Kluyveromyces lactis: one gene and its partner. The protein of the gene in region 2 interacts with the protein of the main gene of each other region in a pairwise test. Links are inferred from orthologs where the notes say so. Each region holds a gene or a part of one and is shown on either strand. Other genes may lie near its edges.

Region 1 (8,131 bases), on a different chromosome or scaffold from region 2:
AACAAACTACTCTCCTATAGTATAAGACGAGTCTTAGCATTCTTCCAGTCTCAAGCTTTCTGCCTACGTTCTGTCGTAATGTACCCTTTTTTTTGCTCTGAAAACGTTTTTGCTCTTAGCTATTTAAAGGGACATACAGGCTTTTCTTAAGACAAAGACCAACCTCATTTTGCGTAATTGAGTGTAGTGGTTTAAAGCTGCCAGTTGGAAAAAGGACAGTGCAAAACAGTGGAAATCAATGAGGAAGGGGTTCTTAGTTTGGAGGGTGTGAGTCTTCCACAATGATCTAAGAAAGCCATAGAATATAATCTCCATTGGCGATGTTGTCGACATCTTGAGAAATGCAGACAGAGATAGTTACGTAAACCTAAGTAAAGGATCCAGAGCTTCTATTGGTGTGCTGTATCTACACGTTACCGATCCACCAAGAACAAGGGTAAAAAAAAAGTAGCTGTTTAACTTAACTCCATATTGTTGGAGTTAGTTTTCCAGTTTGCAAGAGTATAGTTGTCCGAATAGCATCGTTTTTTTTTTTTGTTTTCACAATTCTTGGTGTAGTTTATTTCTGGATTTGCTATTAGCTAAGACGGGTATCCGGCAGGGAACCCGACTTGTTTCGGCATGACTGCTGGATGGGCAAATATATGTAAATATATATAAGGGATGTATCTTGATTGAATTAAACAACGGTAAGTTTAAATATATATATATATGTCTTGGGCATACTTTTGATTCTGCTTTGCCCGATTTTAAGGGTAAAGAGCATCATCGACCTTAAGTATAGTGAAAGAATTAAGGTAAGAAGAAAAAAAAACCAAGAAGTAAAGAAACTAAGTACGTCGAAACATGTCGAACAGAGTTATTATCGGAGGTGTTGCTGTTGCAGCAGCCGGATATTTGTTGTACGAACGTCAAGTTCAGTTGAAACAACAGCAAAATGGGGCTGTTCCCGTGTCTCCAGTTGTTCACGACCAAAGTACATTTGAAAGGAAAGGTGCCAAGACTGGTGCGAAATTGGACGATTTAACCACTGATGTGAAGGACAAAATGTCACAATACAAGAATGAGGCCGATTACAAGTTCCAAGACATTGCCTCGCAGGTTGAGGGCAAGAAAGCTGGCATCGCTGATTGGACCGTGGAAAAATTAGATCAAGCAAAGAACACGATTGAAGATTCACGTGACAAGTACAGAGACAATAAGCACACTCTAAGAGAGAACGTTCAGGAATATGAAAACAAGGACAAGCCAAACGCTGTCGTTCAAGTCTACAAGGACACGAAGGGTGCTATTTCCACTGATCTCGGTAACATCAAGGAAGGTTTCATCGATGACCTGAAAAGTGTGAAGTCCGCAATCGTTGGTACTGGCAACCAAGTGCAAGACACAGTTCACCAGAATGTGAACGAAATAGCTGACAGAAGCTCGCAGAAGATCGACGATACCAAAGAATCCGTATCCAAGGCTGCTGCTAGCAGTAAGCAAACCGTGAACGAAGCTGCTCAGAATGCGAAGGACACGTCAGTCAGTATTTTGAACTGGGGCTACAACAAGGCTGAGAAGGCTCGTGCTCAAGCTATCAACAATTACGATAATGCAAGCAAAAAATACCAAGAGTTGGAAGAAAGGTTCAACGAGTCAAAGAAGGGCCTTTTCGGTAAAGGTGACCCAGAATTGCAAAGGCAAGTTGATCAGGCTAAGGCGTACGTGGAAGATGCCAAGAGAAGAGTGGATGAAGCCACTAGGGAATTCTCTGAGAAGACCACCAATGACTTCAACAAGCTGGCCAACCAAGTACACGACAACGAAGAAGAGCTGAGACGTAAAGGGTTCTTGAGTTGGTTAAGAGGTAAGGCCGACGCGGAGGTTGTTGATCCAGACTCTATTGCCAGCCATAGTGTTTCTGGATGGGGTGAAACTGCCGAACTCTTAGCAAAGGAAGAGATGGAGGAGAAGGTGAGGAACAGACAAATAGGACCAAGTGAAGCTCAAAGAAGATTGGATCGTTTCAAGAAAATCAAGGAAGACGGTTGGTTCACCTACAAGGGTAAGGACGAAGAGTTCCTGGCTCAAAAGGCTGCTAAGGCCTTGGAAGGTTGGGGTGAAACCGCTTCCACCATGGCCCAAGAAGAATACGAAGACTTGGTAAGATGGAGAGAAGCCGGTAAGAAGAGATACCAAGCTTCCGCTTCTACCGCTCGTGATGACGCCCAAAGGGCTGCAGACGCTGCCAAGAAGTCATTGGAAGATGCCCGTGCTGAATTGAACAAGCACACAAAGCACTGGTGGCAATTCGGTGCTGAAAAGAATGAGGAACTACAAAAAGCTGCCAAGGCCAAATACGAAGATGCTGAAAAGAATTACCAATCTGCGGTTAATACCGTAAACGACTGGGCTGACAAGGCTACTGGTAAGTTCTGGAGTAGTACAGACGACGCCTTGCATACTGCCAAGCAAGCTGCTGCCGGTGTTCACGAATCCACTCAAAAGGGACTAGATAAGGCACAAAACTACGTACAAGAGAAGAAATAATTCATGATTGATTGATTTCCTTTCCCTTATCTCCTCACCTGCCCCCTCCCTCACATTCTAAAACATCGTATTAATGATTTTGATTTTGATTTTTGTCTCTATCTAACTAACGTATCTAAAACTATATTATTATGTATCAACCTAAAATACCAAGTGTAAACCGTATTCCTATTGCATGTTGAAGTATGTGTGCATGCATGAAGTATTCAGTAAGACTATACTATTAACTCCAAAAAAAAAATAGCCAGAGACCGAACTTTCAATCACGTGATTCTAGTGCCGCACTCCCCAAACTCGGGTCTCCAAACACTTAACTGCATCCATCCCTGCCCCACTGTTCTCCCCTCCCCCTGTCCCCTCATCCGTGTAAAAGATGGAGATAGCATACACTGATCTCGCCTTCCGTCTCTCAGCTCGCTTCTCCCAAGGCAACAGGCCCCCATAATGTCCCCGACTTTCGTGATCCAGGATTACAGGAAGGAAAAACATAAAATACGTGACCTGATTTGATATCACAACGGTAAACCGAAGAATAAGACTTTTTTTTTTTTGAAATTTTCCCATTGAAGATGACTGACCGACTGTTGCCTGAATGACTGCTTGAATGACTGCTGCTATTTTGTGTTTCGTTGCTTGATATGCCAGACAGAGGCTTACCATGGCATAGATGATAAAGATATATCGGTAAATGATCGTCTCATTCCATCCTTCCTTTGTTGCTCCCTTGATTTTCTGCTCGATGCAGCTGACCTTGGTACTATATTAAGGAACCACCGACGCTATATATAACTAAAACGCTATATGTTCCTTCCTTGTTTGTTTATTTACTTCTTCTACGTATGATTTGTTCCCTTTTTTTTTTGGATTAGAACTATCTACTTTACATAGTTCTTCCTCTCACACGCAGGTATTGTTATTCAACTTGAGATTCAACTGCTACTACTATTGCTACTGCTTCCTACATCACCTGGCTGCTATATTGAAAAGATTAGCACGCTTTTTTCAACTTGGTTTCATTCCAGGTTTTTTTTTCTTTTTCATCGATCATAAGCAGAAACAGAAATACAGTGCTGATAGAAAAAAGGTCAGGTCAGGCATTATTTCCCATATTAAAGGTGTGCTTTAACTTGTTGAACTTGATTTATAACTGTTGTTATTGAACAGAGGAAAGAGACCAAAGACCAGCCACGAGTAATCAATCTGAACAGTAAAAGACGAAGAATCTGTTATCGCTTGGCATCATAGGACTTCAGAGTTCGCACGAATTTTTTTTTTTATTATTTTGTTTTTACTTCAACACGAAGCACCGTCTTTCCTCCGGTGGTCTTACCTCTTTTCTATTCACCTTATCATACTGTTTAGATTAATATGGATCAGAGGATTTCAATACGCAGGCGAGAAATGGATCCCAAGATGCTTAACTGTACCGATAAAAATCGGTTCCAGATGCTACACGCGAGTAGTGATGTAGAACATGAACAAAATCATACGTTTTTGAAAGTGAGTCCCGCTCTTTTCACGCAGGATAAACTGCCGTTGTTCGATTCTTTAGACTTATACACTTCGTTGATCAAATGTAGCAAATTCATGGAGCAAGGAGAACGGCTGCATAACCTTAGTTGGAGGATCATTAATAAGTCGTTGTTGAAAGATCAGAATATCAACAAGTCAAAGAGACGGGATGGTGTACGGAACCTATATCACGTTATTAATCCTATAAAGCAAACGCACTTATTCCCACAACTGCAGCAACAGCTGCAGAAACCAAAAGCTGTGACACCGGCGTCACCAAAGACTCCAACTACAATGGTAACTGCAGCTTCCACCTCGGCGACATCGTCCGGTTCATCATCTGCGCTGTTGACACCAATCTCTAGTGGGGCCTCGATACCGAAATCGACTGCTAATACGCATATTACGTCAACAAGACCTCATATCTCAATTTCGAAGAAACTGATATCACCTGTGTGTTCTTCACCTGAACCTCTACCGACGAAAATGGAGGTTCCATCAAGGTCCCAGGCAAACACCCCTGATCTACGGAAAGATTTGGCAAAGAAGAAATTCGCTATTTCTCCTGAATTGGTCAATGTACCGAAGAACCATCAACAACAATTACCTTTACCACCATCATCATCAGAACCCCCGGTGTCAAATCATGTGCCTTTATCGGAAACAAAGTCAAATGCTCACTCACAGACTTCTTTGTTCAGTAGAAACCCATCTAGTAAATCATTATTTGCGAAAAATCAACCTACTCCATTCACCCCGGCCAATGGATCTACTAATTCATCTGCCAATGGATCTGCTGAAAACCTCAAATCAAATGAGATGAATCATTCCTCGAGAACGTCATCAGTTGCCAACAATATCGCTCATACATCTAGTAATGGCACCAAATCTGGAACGTCTGGTACTATAAGTAATGCAGCGCATGTGCATGCCGGACAAGATCACAAGAATATGTTCTTTAGTAGTGAGGACGAAGAATCTGATTGGGACTCTCTTTCAGATGATAGTGAGATATACGATGAAGAAGAAGATAATGATCAATATTATGAAAACCAATGGGATAAGCTGATGTTCTCAAAGACACACCAAAACAATAATGTTCATCAAGTGCCTTCAAAAGAATCCGGAGAGAAGAAAAGTTTGTTGTCTGGTCTATTCATGCAAGAGAAACAAACCAAGTCACAAGTTGATCCAGAGGATAAAGCATACACTACAACCAATGAGGATTTGCTCAAAAGACCACTATATGTTTCTGAAGCAACATCTTCAGCAAAGGCTGTTGAGAAACCTGTCTTAAAGTCTTTGGATAAACAATCGGAAAAGCCTCTGAGAAAGAAGACCGATCAAAATTGCATATTACATCAGAATCCAACAGGAATTCAAATACCGCCTCAACCTGTTGCTCCAGAAACTACGGAAATAGTTGCTGTGGGCTCTGTGACACCATCAAGTTCGTGGCAGAACAAACCTCTTTTGGATCATCAAAAGCCAATTCCTGTCGCATTTGAGCGTTCCAGAAGACTCGGCTCTTTTAGTAGTATCGTAAGCGATACTACTAGAGAACGGTATTATCATGAATCGAATGCACCTCCGGCTGCTCAGACCATTTTACCTACTGCTCTTTCTACCCATATGTTTTTGCCTAATAACGTCCACCAACAAAGGATGGCATTACGTGGAGGAAGTCTTCAATCAGATTTTGATACTGAAATAGCCAAAAAGGTAGCATCGAGACGTGAATCGATGGATATCCCTTCCAAAAACAGAAACAATTTCTTCCTCAAGACTAGAATGGAAATCTCAGAAGAAGAAAGCTTCGCTAGAGCATATGGCAGATGTGTCAAGAAGTGAAGGTAATTTCCTTCATTTACTAAACATCATCCACGACAAATATTAATTACCTTTGATAGACTGTATAAAACCTCGTTTAATGACAACCAAGTAATTCTTTAATATGTCACCAATTACAGTGTCTGTTGTATGTAACCGATGTTACGATAATGCGTTTCTTAGCGTATTTGGCTTTATGGATTTGTATAAAGGTTTTGTCACGTGACCATTTGGTATTATTCTAATAATTATTTCTTTTTGAGGCTGAAATTTTTACATGAACGATGCGATGAGATGAGACGTTAGAGCTGAAGAACAACTTAGCTGGTTGGACATTTTTGTTTACGACGGACTAGTATCGTGTATATACGTACTGTAGTCACTATAAACAGGCATTATTATAGTATATTATCAGCTATTCGCTTTTTTGGTACTATACAAGCAACACATTATTGAAGTACGATGTTAAGAAGGCAAGCTCGTGAAAGAAGAGAATACTTGTACCGTAAAGCACAAGAGCTACAAGAATCTCAACTACAACAAAAGCGCCAAATCATAAAGCAAGCGTTAGCACAGGGGAAACCACTACCAAAGGAAATTGCTGAAGATGAGCAACTACAGAAAGATTTTCAATACGATGAAAGTGCTCAGGAACAGATAGATGATGAGTACAGCGCAACAAGCGGTATCGCAGAACCTAAGATTATTGTGACAACATCTAGAGACCCTAGTACTAGGTTATCACAGTTTGCAAAAGAAATCAAATTACTGTTCCCAACAGCGGTAAGATTAAACAGAGGTAATTACATTATGCCGAATCTTGTCGATGCCTGTCAAACATCAGGAACGTCAGATTTGGTTGTTCTTCATGAACATAGAGGTGTTCCTACATCACTAACGGTATCACATTTCCCACATGGTCCAACAGCATTTTTCACATTACACAACGTCGTTTTAAGACATGACATTTTAAATTCGGGGAATCAAAGTGAAGTAAATCCACATCTAATCTTCGATAATTTCACAACACCATTGGGTAAGAGAGTAGAGACGATTTTAAAGCACCTATTCCCACCTGGTCCAAAGAAAGATGCAGCAAGGGTGATAACGTTTGCAAACAGAGGAGATTTTATCAGCGTTAGGCAACATGTTTATGTGAAAACCAGAGAAGGTGTGGAGTTAGCAGAAGTGGGACCTAGGTTCGAGATGAGATTGTTCGAATTAAAATTAGGAACATTAGAAAATAAAGATGCTGACGTAGAATGGCAACTAAGAAGATTTGTTAGAACGGCTAGTAGAAAGGACTATTTATAATTATAGTAAGCATAATAAGACAATTCCATCATAATGTCCATAAAATCAAGCAAAGTATAACATTTTTGCTAGTGGAAAGAATTCTATCAAACGTATTTCGTTTTAACGACGGAAAGGGTATGTTGTTTGAGGAGATACAGGAAAATTAAACACAATTACATGATATTAGCAAACCCTGGAGCATGAAGCAACTGCGTTTCAGTCACTGTATTTATAGATAGGATAAAAAGAATCAGAAAGAGAAAAAGAAAACACCCGTAAGTAAATTAACATAAAAGAATAACAACCTTCTCATTTCGATATAAATAAAAATAGAATGTTAATTCAAAATAGAGTTATAACGATTGACTGTACCGAGGAGACGGTAAGGGAAAGAGTTGCTGAACGAGAGAAAAAATAAGGGAAGGGGAAGAAGATGTATCAAAGAAGAGACGGAAAAAATAAATGACCCGTTCTTGGCCAGAAAATTCAAGTGATTGCTTGAAAACAGATAAACGTAGCAATTTCCTTCTATTTAAAAGCGCGCTGAATGGCTCATGGATCATCCTTATTCTTTCTTTTTAATGTTAGATTTCGTTAGTCAACTTTTTCTTCACCACTTCGCTTGCCGTATTGGATTGAAGTTGCTCATCATAAAAAACATCATCCAGTATATGGGTATTCGCGCTTGACACGGAGCTTCTACTGAAGTTATTCGCGTACGGTGAAACTCCACTAGCATTGGAGTACGCTCTTGTCTTGTACGCTGGAGGAGAGAATTTTTTGTTAAAACCAGATCCCTGAGTAGAAGTACGTGATAAACGAAGTCCTTGAGGATTTACTGGTGGGGTGTTCAGTGTACCTGCACTAGATACATCATGATCTAAACCACGATGCTGTGTATTTCTGTTGTTGTTGTTGTTGTTGTTGTTGTTGTTGTTGTTGTTGTTGTTGTTGTTGTTGT
Region 2 (7,863 bases):
GCATCAATGCAAATATATCCTGATTCACTCGATCCTGCGCGTTTCATCAAGAAACTCTGTGTATGATTGTTTAGGGGGCCCCCACAGCTTCCTAAGATAGTTAGTTCAAATGAGCATCCAGGATACGTAGACATCTTTTCACTTTCGAAACCAGAATGGAAATATATCGCAAGATATCGGTAAAAATCTGTTTCCTGGCGTATAGATGCCTACCCTACAAGCCAGTTGTATTTGAGAGTATGGAATATAGGTATACTGGGCTAGCGCTATAAGTCCTCTAGTCTTTCCTTTGTCGATGATTCATTAATCAATTAGGTTACTACTTGTTTATATAGAATTAAACTTGTTTTCTAAAAGAATTGGAACTGTAAAAGAATAAAGAAAGGTAACTCCAACGATAACCTTCATATATACAGGTCCCTTCACTCGAAATATCTTAGTGACATAATGACTGAGCTGGCTGTCCAGTAGTTGACAGCATTGACGCCGTTTTGATCAGTTTCTTTCTTGGTGTATTATGTGTGAATATGTGCCCTAATTCAGAATTTACGCATAGTATACATTTATAGAGAAAACACAGAAGAGGTGAGGTCTTCCCGTTATTGACAAAGAAAGTATATATTACCAGAGCAGGATCACCATGTGTTGCTCTTCCTTTGTTGGCATGAGATTGTGTATTTTGGTGCAAGTATTATCTGCGTGGATAAGTGAAAGCATGAAGACAAGACGAAGTAAATCCGAAACCTATACCTTTTGGGTACCATATCCTCTGATGTCTTTGGCGAATTCCCAAGACATATTCTCTACTTGTAGGTCCTTTTCGATATTGAGCCCCAGTTCATTGTCGATTATAGCCAATGAAAACTTACGTGAACTACGGGCATCACGGTAGTATAATATTTTCATTGCCTCTAGGATAGCTTTCTTAGCAACATCTAGATTCACTTTTTCCACGTCCTTTTCGGTGTCTACTAGCTTTCTTAAAAGGGGCAATGCCAAGTGGGCACCGAACCCTGTAGCCAACGTTGGCGAAGAGTATGTGACACCTAATAGGTTAACGTATCTTAAAAATGGCTTTCCATCTTCTGTGCCCCCTACAATTATCGCATTCCATAAAGGATCTAACTTGGATCTACGTTGGTACATCACAGATGATAGATATTCAAAAACGAAGCTTGGTTTCAATTGCTCCTCATTATCCGCATATGCGCTATCGTAATTGTTTTCAATTTCCATCTCGTCTAATAGATGTTGAATGTATTGCATATCGGAAATGTCACCGGATACACCAACAACCGTGTTGGGACCCACTTTGATCAATCTCTCCTCGTTTGTGAAACGTAATAACGAACCGTAAGCACCTAGATTATCAGCTGCAACAATAACACCGTTATTATACTTAATACTGATGACAGAAGTACCGGTAATAATAGGGTTCTGAGTATTCATCTTTGGATTATTTGACGCTTGGGCAATGGCATGATTGTACGCGCCATAGTGTTCGTCAGATGGCCTTCCCCAGGCAAATGGATCGTGATTCATGTTGGAAAGTGTTTCAATGGATTGGATTCGCAGAAAATACCCTTGGTGACTCTTTAGTGTTGATTGTAACCTGTCGTGAAGTGAACTCCTTATGTATTAATTATGAATTGCATGTCTCTCTTATATTCGATAGTGGCAAAATCGTTCTAATAAGGTAAAATGTTAAAGGGCGGGTAACGCTATATTTTTCCAGCTAAAACAGAGTGATCAACAGAGGATACGACCATCGGATAGTAGTACACAGCAGCGCACTACACTACCTATATGGCGCTTTCACGAATATTTATATCACATTTTAGGGTCTGAGGCTTGTTACAAACAGGGTAAATTAGATATTAAATCTTCAACAGGAAGGGAGGCTGAGGGAAGTAAAATAAAGAGCATTCTATATAAAGCCTATACATACTGAGATCGCAATTGAGTGTTCAATAGAATTCTACATTGATCTTAACCTTGTCGCTGGAACCACGGGATAATTTCCTTATTTTCTTTTGCAACGTGATGATTCTTTGCCTCACAGAAGCAATAGTCTTTAGATCGTTTCTGTTAATCTTGACAACAACTTCGAATATCCTCTTGTTCGGGTTCCCTGTTGGAGTTGGCTTGCCGTTTCCTGAAAGGTTCTCATCTATAGATAGCATCTGTAAATCAATAGCCGATTCATCTTTCTCCGAAGTGCTGAAATGGAAGACACCATCTCCAATGTTACCACCAGGGTGAACACCACAAATGACATACATGATAGTGCCAATGTATTTTGTCCACCATATTGTCCTTTCACGTTCTAGTTTGTCACCATCTCTTAGTGCAATGTCTTCCAATAGCTTTTTGTACACTTCTTCAGGTTCTGGTATGTCTCCACCCCATCTATTGCACAATGCTATTCCCACCAAAGCTCTTGATCTGTGAGATAGCCCATGACACCCAGCAATGATACCAGATGTACCTACACGTAGTGCTGCGGTCGGTTGTAGTTCCTTTGGATATGAAGCGTGTACGAAAGCGAGGTTACAAAGAGCAGGAGCTATTCTTTCGTATACTATCTTTGGAATCTCTTTAGTAGGTATAGCAGTCCTTAATAGTTCCAAATATTTGTGAACAAGCAAAGGAGCATAGGGTCTGGTTGCAATGACAAGTGGATCCTGTGCTCTAATCTCCCTTGGAAGAATCGAGTATAAAGTACCTTCTCTGACACCACCTTCACTGAAATGAACGTTTTTGATCTTGGGCAATGACTCGGAAGCTGCTGCCATGAGTAGGCCTACAGCTGGTAATTGTTTGGCTCTTCTATCAGAGACTTTAAAGATCTTACTTGCCGATTCACCTGGAACTCTCTCCTTCAAAAACAAGTAGTCACACATGTTTGAGAACTCGCTAAAACTGCATGAAAATCCATTTATAATTGTTTGAATAGGATATTCTTTGATCTGCGATAATAGAAGATGACCCATCCCTCGCAAGCCACCACCGCATGTATATAAATCGAACCCGCCGTTTAACTGTGCTTCATCGTACATCTCCTTGGGGATGCCAATCTTTGTGACTGCAGACTTGTAAGCATCCACAATTTCCTGAAGTAAGACGTGCTTGCTTTCGAATTTCATTCTTCTTGTCAGAGCACCGGCCCCAAATGGTAATGAAACCGGGGTAGATGATTGAGTAATTTCCCCATTAACACATTTGATCCAAGATAGTTGAGTACTACCACCTCCTAAGTCTATGTATAACCCAGATACAGTATTGAACGACGATATGACACCGTAAGCACCAATCCTGCCTTCTTCTTCTTTGGTCAAAATTTCCACATCCCAACCTGTTGAGTCATAAATAGCATCTATAAACTCTTGAGAATTCAATGCTTCCCTAGTAGCTTCTGTAGCTACTACTCTGACTCCTGTTTCTGGAACACCAAAGTCTTCACAAATTAATTTAAATCTCTTCATAGCAGAACAAACTTCGTGGATAACCGCAGTAGGAATAGGGGCCTTGATAAGCGAATTCGCAGCATATTGCACTTCATACAAAGAAATACCTACTCTATCTTTGAAAACGCATGGCATTATCCTAGCATGATGTGATGCTTTAGATGAAATACTGAACCTTATCCCATTGGAACCTATGTCCACAACACCACATAGATTGCGTGAAACAACTTCAGTTTCATTGTCGCTATCAGATATCATTGACATACCTCAAATATGCTATAAATACTCAATGAAGCCTGTTAGCCCCTCCCTTCACTTGTTACTCAGCTAGAAACCTAGATAATTCTTCTATACCTTCTTAAGTCGTCCCATGGTGGTTATTGTCTAGCTTGTCTAGGATTGCGAACTTCAATATTTTAAAGAAAACAGAAAATAGTCATCAAAAACGATGCACGTGATTTTGTGAGGTGTGGTAAGGTTTATCTTTCTTGGTCAAATCGAGTATGACGACTGCTGCTGCTGCACTAACTCATCTACAAATAGGTTGTCGGTATTTTGATTAAAGAAATGCCAATCTGCTGGAAAATTATTATAATAGCTAAAGATTCCACCGACTTAGCCCAATTCAATGTCGGATCCTAAGAAGTTTAGCAAATCTGCATCTTGAGTGTCAGACAACGATGTATCGAAAGGGCTACTCTGTTTAGGGGAACTTGAGGGTATTATATATGTGATCTTTTGTGTCTGCTGCGCTGAAGACACCTTGGGAAGGGAATTTATTGGATTTTCCAGAACCGGCTCTGGCTCCATTTGCTGACATTCGTCAAGGTTAGGGAGCATACTCTTGGAGGAAGATAATCCTTTCTGCAAATCGTTTCTTGCATCCTTAGATGATGATGGTTCTTCTTGCTGCACACTCTCAGTATGCTTTATCATGCTCTGTTTCGATGCCTTACGCCTGGTGTTTCTAGGAATTCCTTCCCGGCAACAAAGATGGCGGCAAGTTGACTTGTCCTTGCAAGTATGGTGACATTTCATGTTTCCATTATCCAATAGAGATCTGTCGCAGTCTTCTTGTCGTTCATTGTTAGCATTTGAATTATTTTTCTCCGCTAACAAATTTAATAGCTCTTCATCATCATCTGTTTCATTGTTTATAGTTTCCCTGGCGTCACTGTAATTTATTGAAGTTTGGAAAGAGCCAGTTTGGTTTGAATCAATCTGTTCAAGTACATTCGAATATTTTGGCATATCGTCATAGCACCCATTACTCAAATAGTACCTGATTTCACGATTTGATCCGCCTATTTGCTCACATGAATAGACAAACTCGATAAAATTCGTGTTTCTGTCTACCTGGATGGTTATTCTGAAGGCTTTGGGTGTCTTTAACTTACTCAAGAACGTTCGCCGAAAATCTATTAATATGCCTGTATCAGTCTTCAACATGATCAGCATACAAAGTTGTTGACCATGCCAAGATGCAGATTTAAAATTGGCTTGTACTTCTACTTTAAATGAAACATGGATTGCGTTTTGAGTTACCGTCTTTTCTTCTACACTGTATTCGAGCGATAATAAAGGAATCATTTGTAAGTCACTTTTGATTTTATATCCGTTGCCTGGTCGCAAACTGAGATAATATTCGATCTGTTGTTCTGTGAGTTTTTCCATATCTGCAAATGTACATACTCCGTGACTCACTAATTTCCGTAGTGATACCAAACCAATGGTGTTTAGTTGTCTTAAGATCATCGGAGTATCCTCCCAACCTTTACCGGCGACACTACGCAAAAGAAATAAAGTACTTTTCAATGAATCTCCATCATATTTCTCAATAAAGCAATCAATCATACATTTGAGTACTCGAGGAGCATGTCTGAAAACAAGCATCTTATCCTGAACTAATGTTTGGTGATGTTTTTGTGCATCTTTGTAAGAAGGATACTCTAAACCGCTTAATTCGTACTGGATTAATAACGAAATTTTCTGTTCTTTAGAAGTTATTGACATTAGCTGTTTCTTCTTATCTGTAAATGGGTACCGCAAAAGAGGATTTGCATTGATTTCTCGATACAATTTCTTCTCATTATGCTTCAAACGAATACTATCAAATTCGCTAGCATTGGCCAATATTTTAAGTACCTCAAGCGACTTTAGTGATGTGTTTGATCTTATGATGTTTTTGACCGTATCTCCAAGGATATAGTGCCTAGTCATTGCCTGTCCATATCCAGAAGCACACAAATTTCCGTTGTTGTCAAGGATTATTTTATAAGAAAGAAGATCCTTTAGTGTTCGTTCACAAAAATGAGTTAACTGGCATTCAGCGTCCGAAGTCAGTATACTGCTTCTAATAACACTATAATGAGCTGGATTCTTAAGATATCGTCTATAAAAGAAAGTGTTTTTCAACCAATTCATCGCAGATTTTATCGATGTAATAGAATTTAGTGCAATTTCAGCAACAATGTTTTCGGCTAGATTCAAATGCAAACAACTCTCTAAGGTGGAGGTTCCCTTCAAAAGATTCTCGTATTTTTCTTGGGATCCTTCGTCCGTTAAGATCAATGCGGTCCCTTCTGTTTCAAACTGTGGTCTTCCTGCTCTTCCGATCATCTGTAAAATGTCTAGAGTTGAATATTCTTGGGAACCGTTGATGGACCACATCCTTGTACCTTTAATAATAACCAAATAAGCTGGTAAATTGACTCCGACAGCCAAAGTTGAAGTCGAACACAACACTTTTATGTCACCGTTGGTGAATTTGTCTTCAATCACGCTCCTATCCGTCATTGACAATCCGGCATGGTGGAAAGCAATTCCCTTCTGTGCAATCTCGCTTAATTGTTTGTCCTGTAGTTTAATATTTGAACGTTTACTACTGGTGTTATTCATTTCGTGGTCATGTAGGGCGATGTGTCTTGCTGTTACAATGGTCGATTGTCTGGTGGGGCAAAAAATTAGAACAGGTTTTCCTTTGCTGTGCTTGTTAATGAGTTCGACCAATCTTGTATTAAACAAAGCGTCCATTTGGAATTCATTATTGAATTTATTGTAGAATGAATAAACGTGATGTCTTAACACCACCTGTCGGTAACTGTCATCAAAGGCTAGTACTTTTGCTGGAACGCCAGTAGGTCCTCCAGTTTTCAACCAGTCAGCAATATCATGTATATTAGGAATGGTTGCACTTACAGCAACTATTCTCAAATTTTGACACATTGAATTCATTCTAGTAAGAATAACTTCCAATGTACTTCCACGATGCTCCTGCAAAATATGAATCTCATCTACCAACACAAGGCTCAATATGGCAAAGAACTGAGGATAATCTGTCCATTTCCTTGTTATAACATCCCATTTCTCAGGTGTACATATGATGATGTTTGCGGCTTTTACTTTTTCCAATTCTGTGAAGGAAGTATCACTTGTCAACATTCCAACTGATAACATGATAAACTTCGATTTCCACTGTTGATACTTCTCGTTGCATAACGATTTAGTAGGTGCAATATAAAGCACCTTTACCGAAGAAGGTCTATCGAGCCTGTTCATTGCGTTTAAAATGGCTAATTCAAATAAGACTGTCTTTCCGGATCCTGTTGGGGAGGTGACGATGCAGTTTTCATTGGATCGGTAGATGTTTTCGAACGATTCAGTCTGCATTCTATTAAAATTTTCGAAAGGGAATATACACTGAGCAGAGTCCGGTAGCACTGAAACAGGTAACAAACGGATTTCATTAACAGGGTCCTTTTGTAATGTTGCGATTTTGGGTTTTTTCCTTAATGGACGAGTCAAAGAATTCGAGAAATTAAGCTGGAATGTGGTATCATTTGAAGTGTTGGAGCTACTAATTTCATACTCTTTCGACATGTTATAAGGGCCATCAGTACTTAACTCATCCCCACTATCATCGTCGATGATGCTGTTGTATGATATACCTACTTTAAAGTTTGGGCGGCTAGTTGGCTTGTTTGTTCCATTGTCTTTATGGACGTTATTCGATTGTAAATAGTGTTAGAATTTAGGTACTAAATCCATGACGTTTAAATCAGGTCCAATGCACATTTTTATACATCTCTTTGAACTCGAGGGTTATTCTGGAGAAAGGGTATCCGTTTTTATCATGAGCGTATTTCACTTACAGATTCGGTTTGAAGAATCGGAGGTTTGCTGTGTTCTTTTACCGCTTTTGAAAATTGTATCATTTGAACTCGAATATTCCTTCATCGAATGGTACATATGGGATGTAATGGTATATGCTATGATACTATGAACAGTTCCTAAGCTATGTTGAAGATGGTTTTTGCTTTGAACTGATTCAGGTTGAGTGTTTGTTTACTTTGTTGATAATTTGAAAACATAAAGGGAGAAAACAAAGGAATTATGA

The links.
Region 1: the proteins of RTG2 (region 2) and MKS1 interact in binary tests that used the Saccharomyces cerevisiae proteins (3 or more experiments, as listed by UniProt). The link is inferred for Kluyveromyces lactis from reciprocal best matches to the Saccharomyces cerevisiae genes RTG2 and MKS1.

The regions. Positions count from the first base shown.
Region 1 is NC_006041.1:700,250-708,380, reverse strand, and holds MKS1 (Mks1p), read left to right. Parts: upstream 1-3,900; coding exon 3,901-5,895; downstream 5,896-8,131. Other genes in the region: OM45 (Om45p), read left to right, coding at 847-2,532; snoRNA-binding rRNA-processing protein IMP4, read left to right, coding at 6,337-7,188; KLLA0_E07811g (uncharacterized protein), read right to left, coding at 7,755-8,131. UniProt on the Saccharomyces cerevisiae protein: Negative regulator of Ras-cAMP pathway. Involved in transcriptional regulation of galactose-inducible genes.
Region 2 is NC_006040.1:981,523-989,385, reverse strand, and holds RTG2 (Rtg2p), read right to left. Parts: upstream 3,732-7,863; coding exon 1,968-3,731; downstream 1-1,967. Other genes in the region: 3',5'-cyclic-nucleotide phosphodiesterase PDE1, read right to left, coding at 1-134; PRE4 (proteasome core particle subunit beta 7), read right to left, coding at 745-1,542; HFM1 (DNA helicase), read right to left, coding at 4,083-7,346. UniProt on the Saccharomyces cerevisiae protein: Required for a novel path of interorganelle communication between mitochondria, peroxisomes and the nucleus, thereby maintaining a functional metabolic interaction between the tricarboxylic acid and glyoxylate cycles.